Nothobranchius furzeri: one gene and its partners. The protein of the gene in region 2 interacts with the protein of the main gene of each other region in a biochemical or structural test. Links are inferred from orthologs where the notes say so. Each region holds a gene or a part of one and is shown on either strand. Other genes may lie near its edges.

The links.
Region 1: of the proteins of tnfaip3 (region 2) and ripk1l, one has a biochemical effect on the other in vitro, tested with the Homo sapiens proteins (2 studies listed by BioGRID). The link is inferred for Nothobranchius furzeri from reciprocal best matches to the Homo sapiens genes TNFAIP3 and RIPK1.
Region 3: of the proteins of tnfaip3 (region 2) and ikbkb, one has a biochemical effect on the other in vitro, tested with the Homo sapiens proteins (2 studies listed by BioGRID and IntAct). The link is inferred for Nothobranchius furzeri from reciprocal best matches to the Homo sapiens genes TNFAIP3 and IKBKB.

Annotation. Positions count from the first base shown.
Region 1 is NC_091751.1:51,510,928-51,513,252, reverse strand, and holds the end of ripk1l (receptor-interacting serine/threonine-protein kinase 1), read right to left. Parts: intron 1,343-2,325; coding exon 1,038-1,342; 3' UTR 586-1,037; downstream 1-585. UniProt on the Homo sapiens protein: Serine-threonine kinase which is a key regulator of TNF-mediated apoptosis, necroptosis and inflammatory pathways.
Region 2 is NC_091752.1:25,134,827-25,139,032, forward strand, and holds the start of tnfaip3 (tumor necrosis factor alpha-induced protein 3), read right to left. Parts: upstream 2,887-4,206; 5' UTR 2,809-2,886; intron 283-2,808; exon of another isoform or gene 142-282; intron 1-141. UniProt on the Homo sapiens protein: Ubiquitin-editing enzyme that contains both ubiquitin ligase and deubiquitinase activities.
Region 3 is NC_091757.1:55,651,177-55,654,833, reverse strand, and holds part of ikbkb (inhibitor of nuclear factor kappa-B kinase subunit beta), read left to right. Parts: intron 1-102; coding exon 103-191; intron 192-1,306; coding exon 1,307-1,396; intron 1,397-1,471; coding exon 1,472-1,596; intron 1,597-2,094; coding exon 2,095-2,202; intron 2,203-2,273; coding exon 2,274-2,388; intron 2,389-2,462; coding exon 2,463-2,657; intron 2,658-2,748; coding exon 2,749-2,863; intron 2,864-3,657.

The DNA of each region.
Region 1 (2,325 bases), on a different chromosome or scaffold from region 2:
AAAACATTTCTCTATTTTAGATGCAGCCAGTTTGCATCATATTAAACTCAAGCTTTGTGCAAAAATGGATACGAAGAACAAACACAAACAACTTTAAAAATATGTAAACAATTTATTGTAAATGTCACAATCCCAGTGGTATGTAAAATCATAGAGGGAGAACTTGCTTGGAATTCCATAAGCAAATATACTACAGAACAATACGAGCAAGTACCCTAAACCAAGTGTGAATTTAAAAGCTTCAGAGGACAGAAGCATAGCATAAAACAGCTTTAAAGCACTTAGGGATAAAACAGTGATTCAAAATGCTTAATATGGTACAGTAACAGCAACTTATCAAATAAACATGCAATTTTTACAGTCCTAAACTGAACATTTAAACCTGGGCAGGTAAAAAAAGTACATAAACAATTTAATTTACAGATAACATTCATGAATATATAAAATGTGCAACAAGCCTGAAATACAAGATGGACCAAAAAGCATTGTCTCCACAGGGTTCACACATATATTAAAATTCCTGATATAAAATACATTTTTTATGTTTTTGCCCCATTTTTCTGCAGAAATCTTAATGGGTCCACTTGTAGGTTTATATTTGTGAACTAACCTTCATAATACATGGAGCGACTTTTCCATTATGACTCTTTTCAGGAAGAAAATTGAAGGGACAAACACCTTGATTATATAAAAACTTTAGTAAGAAAATAATTATTCGACCTAAAACATATCATGATCCTTAACAGTGACTATTATAAGTGCAAAATTTGAAATTTCATGACAAATCGATGGTGTCTGATCGCTCATCAGTGTAGGCTGTAGGAAAAACTGTCAATAAATCAAATAAAAATGCAGTTTCAGCTTGTTGAAAATCACAATAAGAAATAAATCAATACTTTTTACTGTTACAGGGAGGCCCTTATTATCGACAGTACCCAAGAAATTAGATCTGATTAATAAAAAAAAATACATGAGTTTTTTTTAAGTCAGTTGAACTGAGCTTCAGATGTTTGAAGTGAATTCTGAAAATGTGCCCATTACTGAGCTTCAAAGGAAGAAGAGCAACTGCACAATTCCAGCATTTTCAAGATGACATCTACCTCGATGATCCCGTCTAGAGCGCGACAAAGCTTCCCAACCGTACAGCCAATAGATCCCGTCTTCATTTTCCATGATTCCAGCATCTGGTGGACATACTCTGCAAGGCCATCACGGTGGTAGTCATGATCTATGGTGTCTATTTCTACATTAGACAGTCCCAGACGTCGTGCACAGATTTTCCATTTGCTCCCAATGTTGGCCCTCACCAGTTCCAAGTGTGCCTCATTTACAGCGTGATTTTCTGAAAAACATAAGATATTTGTTGAAGAGGATCTGTGTTTTGAAGCCCAGATCCCTCTTGCCTACAACTTTCTCAAGTATATGAAACCCAACTGAAGCCTGATTTAAACTCCTCGTTAGCTCGTGTGGAGTTGTGTACATGCATTGATCGATATGTTTTCTCATCAGACTTCTCTGTCACCTGAGGAATGTTGCAAAGCAATATCCCGCCAGGACAACAGCAAGTGTAGCAATTTTTGGCGGTATCATGCCACAATATATTGTTTTAATGTATTTCAGAGACTTTTTAACGGGAACTAATTTGTCCCTATTTCTCATCCACGTCTTCATGCAATTGGCACCTCTAAACCCAAGTTTCTCATCATTTCCGTCCACGGATAAAACGTTTGCTGCATAACTTAGCACTCATTCAGTCACAGGGCAATAAAATTTCATATGAACTACTTTCATTTGAAAACACATATTTTCAGAAAAGGCACTTGAGCTATGTTGTTCCGCAGCAATGCGTTGTGGGTAATACACTTCACCCAAGTCCACATGTATGCAGACTTGGGTGAAGTGCTAATCAAGGGCGCAAAATCTACTTCCGCACTCTGACAGCCTATGCAGTCGTACCCCTGGCTGGGATCGCAATTGAAGGGTGTAAGTGTGAACCTGCGAGTACTGGGATAGGGCCACCCTCTGCGAGCCCGTTGGGACACCCCTTGCGCCAACGCATAATGGCATCTCCGTACTGACGCAGGCAGAGGAGTATAAATCAGGCTTAAGGTTAAATAATAGTGAAAACATGGTTCTGATAATGAAACAGTACATCTAAGTTTTACAATTTTCACTTGGTTCTCTTAATCACATTGTTGGATTACAAGTAAATCAAACCTACCACGATGGCTGCTATGAGTGATTCTTATTGAAGCTACTTTTATTTGAAAGAATTCCTCTTTTAAAGAGTAAACAGATGTCCCCTCGAACAGAAAATCTATTGTG
Region 2 (4,206 bases):
AGCAGGCTTCCTCCTCCATGTCCCCAGAAACACGACCACACGTTACTCCAGGCCCAAACATGGTGTATCTACTCAGTCTGACCGCCTTCGGCGGGGAATGTTGTCCACACGGAGACGTAGAAGGCAGGACGGTTGTCTTACCTGTGTAATATGTCGGGAGGTAGTAACAAAGCCTCCCGGATGCTCAGGCTAGTCCTCTCTCAGCCACTTCACTCAGCGCAGCGCTTCTCGGCGCCATTCAACCTCCTCTTTCCTTCTGTATCAGATCTATTCTGGAGCTCTCGCAGCTCGCGAAGCTTTTCGAAACAACAGACACTCACGTCCGCTAACGCTAGTTTTTTTTTTTTTTTTTTTTTGAGAAAAAAAGTCCAAGTCAAGGGGATTTCCACGCAGGGACTTTCCGTTCACCCATTTTCCTCCCTCTCTCAGTCACAACCTGGTGCAGTAGGGGCCCGCGGCCGCTAGGGGGCTCCTCTCTGACTGACTCAGTACTGAAAAGCATATCCCACCTACTGAGCACAAAGGAGCGTCACTCTGTTTCATGAAACAGCCTTAGAAATAAATCATTAACCCTGAAAAAGACTAACCTCAGCGAATAAGTCAGGAATACGAAAGACAAACACGTGAGAAGCAGATTTTTAAAGTGTTTACAACAGACTGTTGTTTGGACTCCTGACATGAATATGGGCTTTCTGCAACACACAAGTCCCAGTATCACTCTTCTCTTTTATTCAGCGTTTTATGCTTATTAAACTCCTGTTTTGTTGTAATTTTGTTCTGAACACAGATGCACAACAGGTGGGTGTCTAGAGGGGGGCCTGGGGGAGGCGAGGGGGGAGAGGCACAGACAGGCCCCCTTGCATAAAAGACTGGCCACCCCAGGTGCCACCCCAGAAACTGAGACAGTAAAACATCTAGTGCATATAATAAATAAAAATCTAAAACATATAAACAATATCAAATCAAAGGTGAGATGGCATGGTGTTTACTGTTTTAGTATGTTTTGCATTAAATTGAGCTTGGTTAATGCTCCAAAGTATTTCAGAAATTCAGATGACGAGACTATTGGGTTCAAACAAAACAACAAACCATTCTGTTTCTTGTTGAGGTACATTTTTTCATTGATGCTATGTTTTAAAGCTCATCTATTTATGTTGTTAGGTGAAAAATATTTAAATAATTACAAATAAACAAAAAGTAAAAATGCACTAAAACGCTAGTCTGGAAATGATATCTCCTACTGTGCAAAGACCTAGTCTGGATGTCCTGCAGACGTGGTCTGGACTAACAGACTTAAGGATCTGCACATCCATGTGACATTTGTTTGCAGGGCTACTTAATCCAAAGTGCGTCCTCCTCTCTTTTCTAAAATAATTCTGACTTTACAATGTCAGGGAAAGTCCCAATGTTATTATAATAAATGTATGCATTCATTAACGGAAAAGTGTCAGATAATTATTGATAAAAGTGCACCATGTTTGTGCTTTGGCTTTATTTTAGTTTATAGTAGCCAATTAGATCATGATCAACGCTTAGTAATTTAGTAAAAAAATATGAAGTTTTGTTTCAAAGTTATGAGCCGTTTACAACTGCCACCCTTATCTAAATATGTGCCACCCCCCAAAATAAATTCTAGACATGCCACTGATGCACAACCCACATGTACTGACAAGACTTGAAAAATAATAAAATTGCAGATGTGGAAAAACATCTCAAACATGAATGTAACTTTTTATGATAAAACTGCATTTATTTATATCTGTTGTGAATTTTATTAAGATAACCCTTTGTGTAAAACATGTAAAAGATGAAAGACTGTGAGCTATTATATAATAATAATAATAATAACAGCAATAATAATCATATATATTCTACCCACACTACACATGTGGGGTTACAAAGAAAGAAATTGTGAATTCAAATGACTTATTTTGGCATTTCAAATCAACTATATCAAACTCAAGCATCATATTTATTTGCAAATACTTGGAGAAATTAGCCGCAGCATCCAGACGGTGTAGAGAGTAAAACAGTTACTAATGCTTATGTTTAATCCCACGCTCTTTTCAGCACCTTTTGGTCATGGTGGTTTACAAACTGTTGCCACAGACTGAAGCAGAGCCCTCCAACGGTCGTAACAGTGGTCTACCAGCCTGACAGCTACTGTGCTTTTGTTGCAGCTATCAGACTTCTGATGGTGATGGGAGGAACAGAAAGATGATTTAACATCTGAATGGCCTGAATAGAGAAATACCACTCACCTCTTTGATTGAGTTCATGACAGAAATTTAGTTTGTGTTGTTTGCGTTTGTTCCTATCGGGATCAAATTTACAGTTTGTTCAAAACATTTAGAGAAAATTACCATTATTTCAGTTTCTTAGGTCATTTTCATTTTTTATTTTTATAACCCCCCCCCCCCCCCCCCCCCAGTTATTTTCAAAAGAAAATTTGACTGAAAGTTTTTTGTGCCTTGTTTTATGGATGTTTTGCTTAATGTTTGTATCCAGCCAATGATATTTGATATTGCTTGTATATTAATTTATTCACCGTCCACTGAATTTGCTTTTTTCAGCAAATATATAGGCCTATCTATGCTATACATACAAATATGGATTTTCTACATGATAATCCTTTAAGCAATATTTGATTTGCATAAACTGTTCTGCATCAAGCCTTAGAATAAAGCTCCACACAGATCAAAACAAGAGAAATAGAAGACACGTATCTCAGCTGAAAATTAAAGTGCTTCAAAATAAAAAATATCATTCACACATTAAATCACACACTCAAAAAATTGGTCAACTCACCAGTAAAGTTGATTTTAGCTTAAATCTTAAAGACACAAGCAAACCGTAAGGTTTTAGCTACCTGCTGTCATCCCATGCTGCCACCCCTCTGCTGACTCACTGCTCCCCTTTCCATTTTCCTTTCTCTTCCCTGTGGAACGCCTCCTAGTTCCCTGTTCGGCTGGCCAAACACCACAGTTCTGTTTCCTCCCTACTCACACAGGGAATAGAAACCTAAGAAACATAATCACCTGACAAATAATTCTGGAATTATTCACTGAATTTGACATTAAAACCCCAACCACTATATTCCAGATTTGATATTTAGCACATTTTCTAATCAATGCCTGGATTGTATTTAGAAATGTTTGTGTTTGTAATGGTAATAATGTACAAAACTTTCACACATGTTTAGAGGGTTTGTCACTTGGTCACGTTTGACTGAGTCAGGCTTGAATGATGAATGCAAGCTGGTTATGGGAGCTATTAAATAAAAGCAGCACAGTCACAAGCAGATTATGGAAACTCCCCAGAAAAGACAAATGACCCACTGGTGTGCTCAAGCCAGTAACTGGTTGGTCACAAAAAAGTTTTAAAAAATAAATCACATTTTTCTGTGGTGGAAAAAGGAAATGCTTGGAATTGAATCAAGTCATGGGTGAAGTTTCATTTAATATTGTTTAAAACAAGAGCACAAACAGGCTGAAAACATCAAAATCCTGTTTAAAGGGATACTTTTTTATATTTTCACATCATTTTTTGAGCCAGTATGTGCTCAAATGACCCTTAAAGGCTACCCAGCCTCTATCGCCCCCTGTGGTCAGAATGTTCCACTTGCAAATTTAGACTGGTGGCCGTTTTGTTGGGACTTAGAAAAAATCGAGCTGACATACCTGGTGCTGCAGTCTGGTTCCAGCATTTCAGCTGTTAGATTAAGGCGTTCAAAAGACAAACGCACAGCGAGGAGATACGTTTGCTTTCTGTTCTACAAGCAAACACTAGGGGGTACTAAAAGCAAACCAAAACAGCCTAGTTCCCCTTTAAATGTTAAAAAAGCTTTAATAGTTTTAAAACAATACGAAGTAAAACTCTACATTCTCTTTATTTAAGATATTTTACCAACACAGCTACAATTTTCATAAAAACAGTCATATAATAATGTTCTGAAATGTATTATCAGACCAATTTATTTTGAAATTTATTCAGAAATTAGAATAAGCATTTTTCTTTTTTCCTCCATTCGCTTTTATTTTGCAGGTACGATACAACGTTTTTATTTTTGCAACATTTTGAACACATGAGAAGATTCGTGCTGAAGCCAACAATCTGAATATTTCCATCCTGACAGCAAAGTAAGTGCCAGTGACACGTTTCACAACTTTAACTTCCTTCCTGAATTACAACACTTTTATAAGTTAC
Region 3 (3,657 bases), on a different chromosome or scaffold from region 2:
CCAAAAACGATAAACGATATGTAGTTACTGTTTACAGCTTCGGTGTCTCCTTTCCTTCTAACTCTGATTTTAGTTGTGCTATCTCATTTTTCCTTTTCCCAGCTTCAGCTCTAATGTACCTCCATAGCAACAGGATCATCCATAGAGACCTGAAACCAGAAAACATTGTGCTGCAGCAGGGAGAGAAGAGGGTGAGTTACAGATCCACTGAAGACAAAGTGCACCAAAACCACAACTACAAGGCTCTTGGAACTTCTATTGTGCAAGAAATGATTGCATGTTGTACCCCAGCTTTAAAAAGAAAACAGGAAAATCTTGTATAACTGAGGCCAGACATTAAAGAGGTTATATTCATGTTTATGCAAAATCTTCTGAGTTTATAGAAACTGAGCCTGACCAGCTTAATCAGTTTAAGTTTATAGGTTTGCATTAAAATTTGTTTCTTCTTTTGCTTACAAAATACCTTAGTTTATGAGGTAAAATTAAATGTTTTAAGAAAAACTGATGAGGATCGACACCTCCAAATCTGAGACCATGGTTCTCGGCCGGAAAAGGGTGGCTTGCCAACTCCGGGTCGGGGGAGAGGTCCTACCTCAAGTGGAGGAGTTTAAGTATCTCGGGGTCTTGTTCACGAGTGAGGGTAGGAGGGATCGGGAGATCGACAGGCGGATTGGTTCGGCGTCTGCAGTGATGCGGATGCTGAGCCGATCTGTCGTGGTGAAGAGGGAGCTGAGCCAGAAAGCCAGGCTCTCGATTTACCGGTCGATCTACGTCCCAATCCTCACCTATGGTCATGAGCTTTGGGTAATGACCGAAAGAACGAGATCGCGGATACAAGCGGCCGAAATGAGTTTCCTCCGTAGGGTGGCCGGGCTCAGCCTTAGAGATAGGGTGAGGAGCTCGGACATTCGGGAGGGACTCGGAGTAGAACCGCTGCTCCTCCGGATCGAAAGGAGTCAGCTGAGGTGGTTTGGGCATCTGGTCAGGATGCCTCCTGGTCGCCTCCCCGGGGAGGTGCTTCGGGCATGTCCTGCCGGCAGGAGGCCCCCGGGTCGACCCAGGACACGTTGGAGAGGTTACATCTCCAATCTGGTCCGGGAACGCCTTGGGGTCCTGCCGGAGGAGCTGGTGGAGGTGGCCGGGGGGAGGACGGTCTGGAGCTCCCCAGTTGGGATGCTGCCCCCGCGACCCGGATAAGCGGAGGAAGACGACGACGAGGAAAAACTGATATTTTATGTATTTCATGGCGCATTCAGTTCAGCAGTTACCAACGTGTCAAGCGTTTTTGGGCTTTTTTCTTTTTTAGCTCATCCATAAGATCATAGACCTTGGCTATGCTAAAGAGTTGGACCAGAGCAGCCTTTGCACATCCTTTGTGGGAACTCTGCAATACTTAGTAAGTAGTACAAAGTAAAGGCTTGCACACCTGATTTCCTCCCCACTTTTCTAACGTCTAATATCTTTATTTCAGGCACCAGAGCTCATAGAAAGGCAGAAGTACGACGTCACCGTGGATTACTGGAGCTTTGGCACTTTAGTGTTTGAGTGTATTACGGGATTTCGTCCTTTCTTACCGACCTGGCAGCCTGTTCCCTGGTAAATTCTGTTCAAATGTAAATTCTGTTCAAGTTTTACACTTTAAAAAGTCACATGTACCCGTTCAGATGAGCTTTTTCCTCATGGATCCAGCAGCTTTTCATTCTATTACGTGAACATTAAGAGTACTTCCAAAAGTAATGAGAACGTTTACCTTTCCACTACCTTCTAACCTGTTACAGTCATAGTTTAGGAATCTGTACAATGATGTTTTCTTGTGTTCAGAATGGATGAACTTAAATAAAAGTAAATGTTTTTGTGTGATTGTTGGACTTGAGCTCGAGTTGGTTTAAAAAGCACAGGAGCAGCTAATGAATTGCAGGATATGTGAGGTGTGCCAACATCAGCGTTCTTTTCTTGTTCTTCGTAAAACGTGATGAATGATGTGAAGCGCTGGGGGCATTGAGTTATTTAGAGGAAAACTACTCCTTAGCCCTAGCAGGGACAAGTGAAAACATGAGAATGTGCTTGTCTCGTGGTCCATCTGTATCCTTCTAGGCACAACAAAGTCAGGCTGAAGCAGGACGATGATATTGTGGTTTACGAGTCTCTCGCTGGAGAAGTCTGCTTCTCCAAACATCTGCCTCAGCCCAACAATCTCAACAGGTGATTGTATACCCCGACAGCTGTCAAAAGGTTTATTCTCTAATGCAGATGTGGTTACTGTTGTCTGCCAGTCTGCTGCTAGAAAAGATGGAGAGTTGGTTGCAGCTGATGCTGAAGTGGTCTCCTAGGAAGAGAGGCAAGGAAGGCAACTCCTTCTCCCAGCTGGAGCTCATACTGCAGCTCAAGGTTAGCAAAGAACATGAGAGTTGTATGGTTGTTTATTTTATTTTATGTTTTCTGACTTGTCTCTTTCCTTTCAGCTGGTTCATGTCCTGAACATGATGTCGGCTAAAATCCTGACGTACAAGGTCGCAGAGGATGAAACTGTGGCCAGCCTGCAGCTGAGGATAGAAAAGGACACGAACATCCCTGCAGCCAATCAGGAGCTGCTGCTGGAGGCGGGGCTGGCGCTGGAGCCTCAGGCTCTGGCCACGCAGTGCGCCATCGATTACACAGTAAGGATATCGGACGTGCAAAGCATGTTTGTCATGATCACACGTTCCACTTCCGAATGAGAGCTGTAGCGTTTGTATCATCGGTCTGCAGGAGATAGATGGACGTCGTACAGATTTACCTCTGGTCTTCCTGTTCGACTGCTCCTCCTGCTCATACGAACCCCAGTTTGCTCCCCGGACTCTTCCTGAAAATATCCGCTTTGTCCGTAAGTACGAAGCCTGTGATGTCAGGAAAAGCCGTGCTCAGTAAATTTTATTTCATTTATTTTCGTGTCAGCTAGCATAAATGAAAAAAATGAGTGTAGAGGCTGAGAACTCCAAACTGACAGGTGTCATAATTAAATATAACAAATGAACTGACAGCTAGGAGACTTATTTTAACACTGTTAAAAGGCGTTCGTGCTAGATCTTTCTCTGAAAGAGTAGCAATGACCATCCTTTCTTTAAAGACGCTTCCGCAGCAGCTTTTCTCGGTTTTATTAACAAACATGGACAGTTTAGGCTGCCACCCCCGCGACCCGACCCCAGGTAAGCGGCTGAAAATGGATGAAGATTCAGACAAAAAGGCTTCATGTTGAGGTGAAGCGTGTCAACGTGAGACACACCCAGAGCACTTGATTAGTTATTGTGACCCATGTTGGCATTATCCAACAACCAATGGGTCAGCTCCTCCGGGTAAATCTTGAGGTGTTCCCTGGCCAGCCGAGAGACATGGTCCTTCCAGTGTGTCCTGGGTCTTCCTTTAGGTCTCCTTCCGGTTGGACGAGCCCGAAAAACCTCCCCAAGGAGGCGTCCAGGAGGCATCCTAACTAGATGCCTGAGCCACCTCAACTGGCTCCTCTCGGAGTGAAGGAGCAGTGGATTTACTCCGATCGCCTCCTGAATGACCGAGCTTCCCACCCTATCTCTAAGAGCCCAGCCACCCTGCAGAGAAAACTCGTTTTGGCTGCTTGCATCTGCGATCTCGTTCTGTCAGAACCCAAAGCTAGTGACCGTAGGT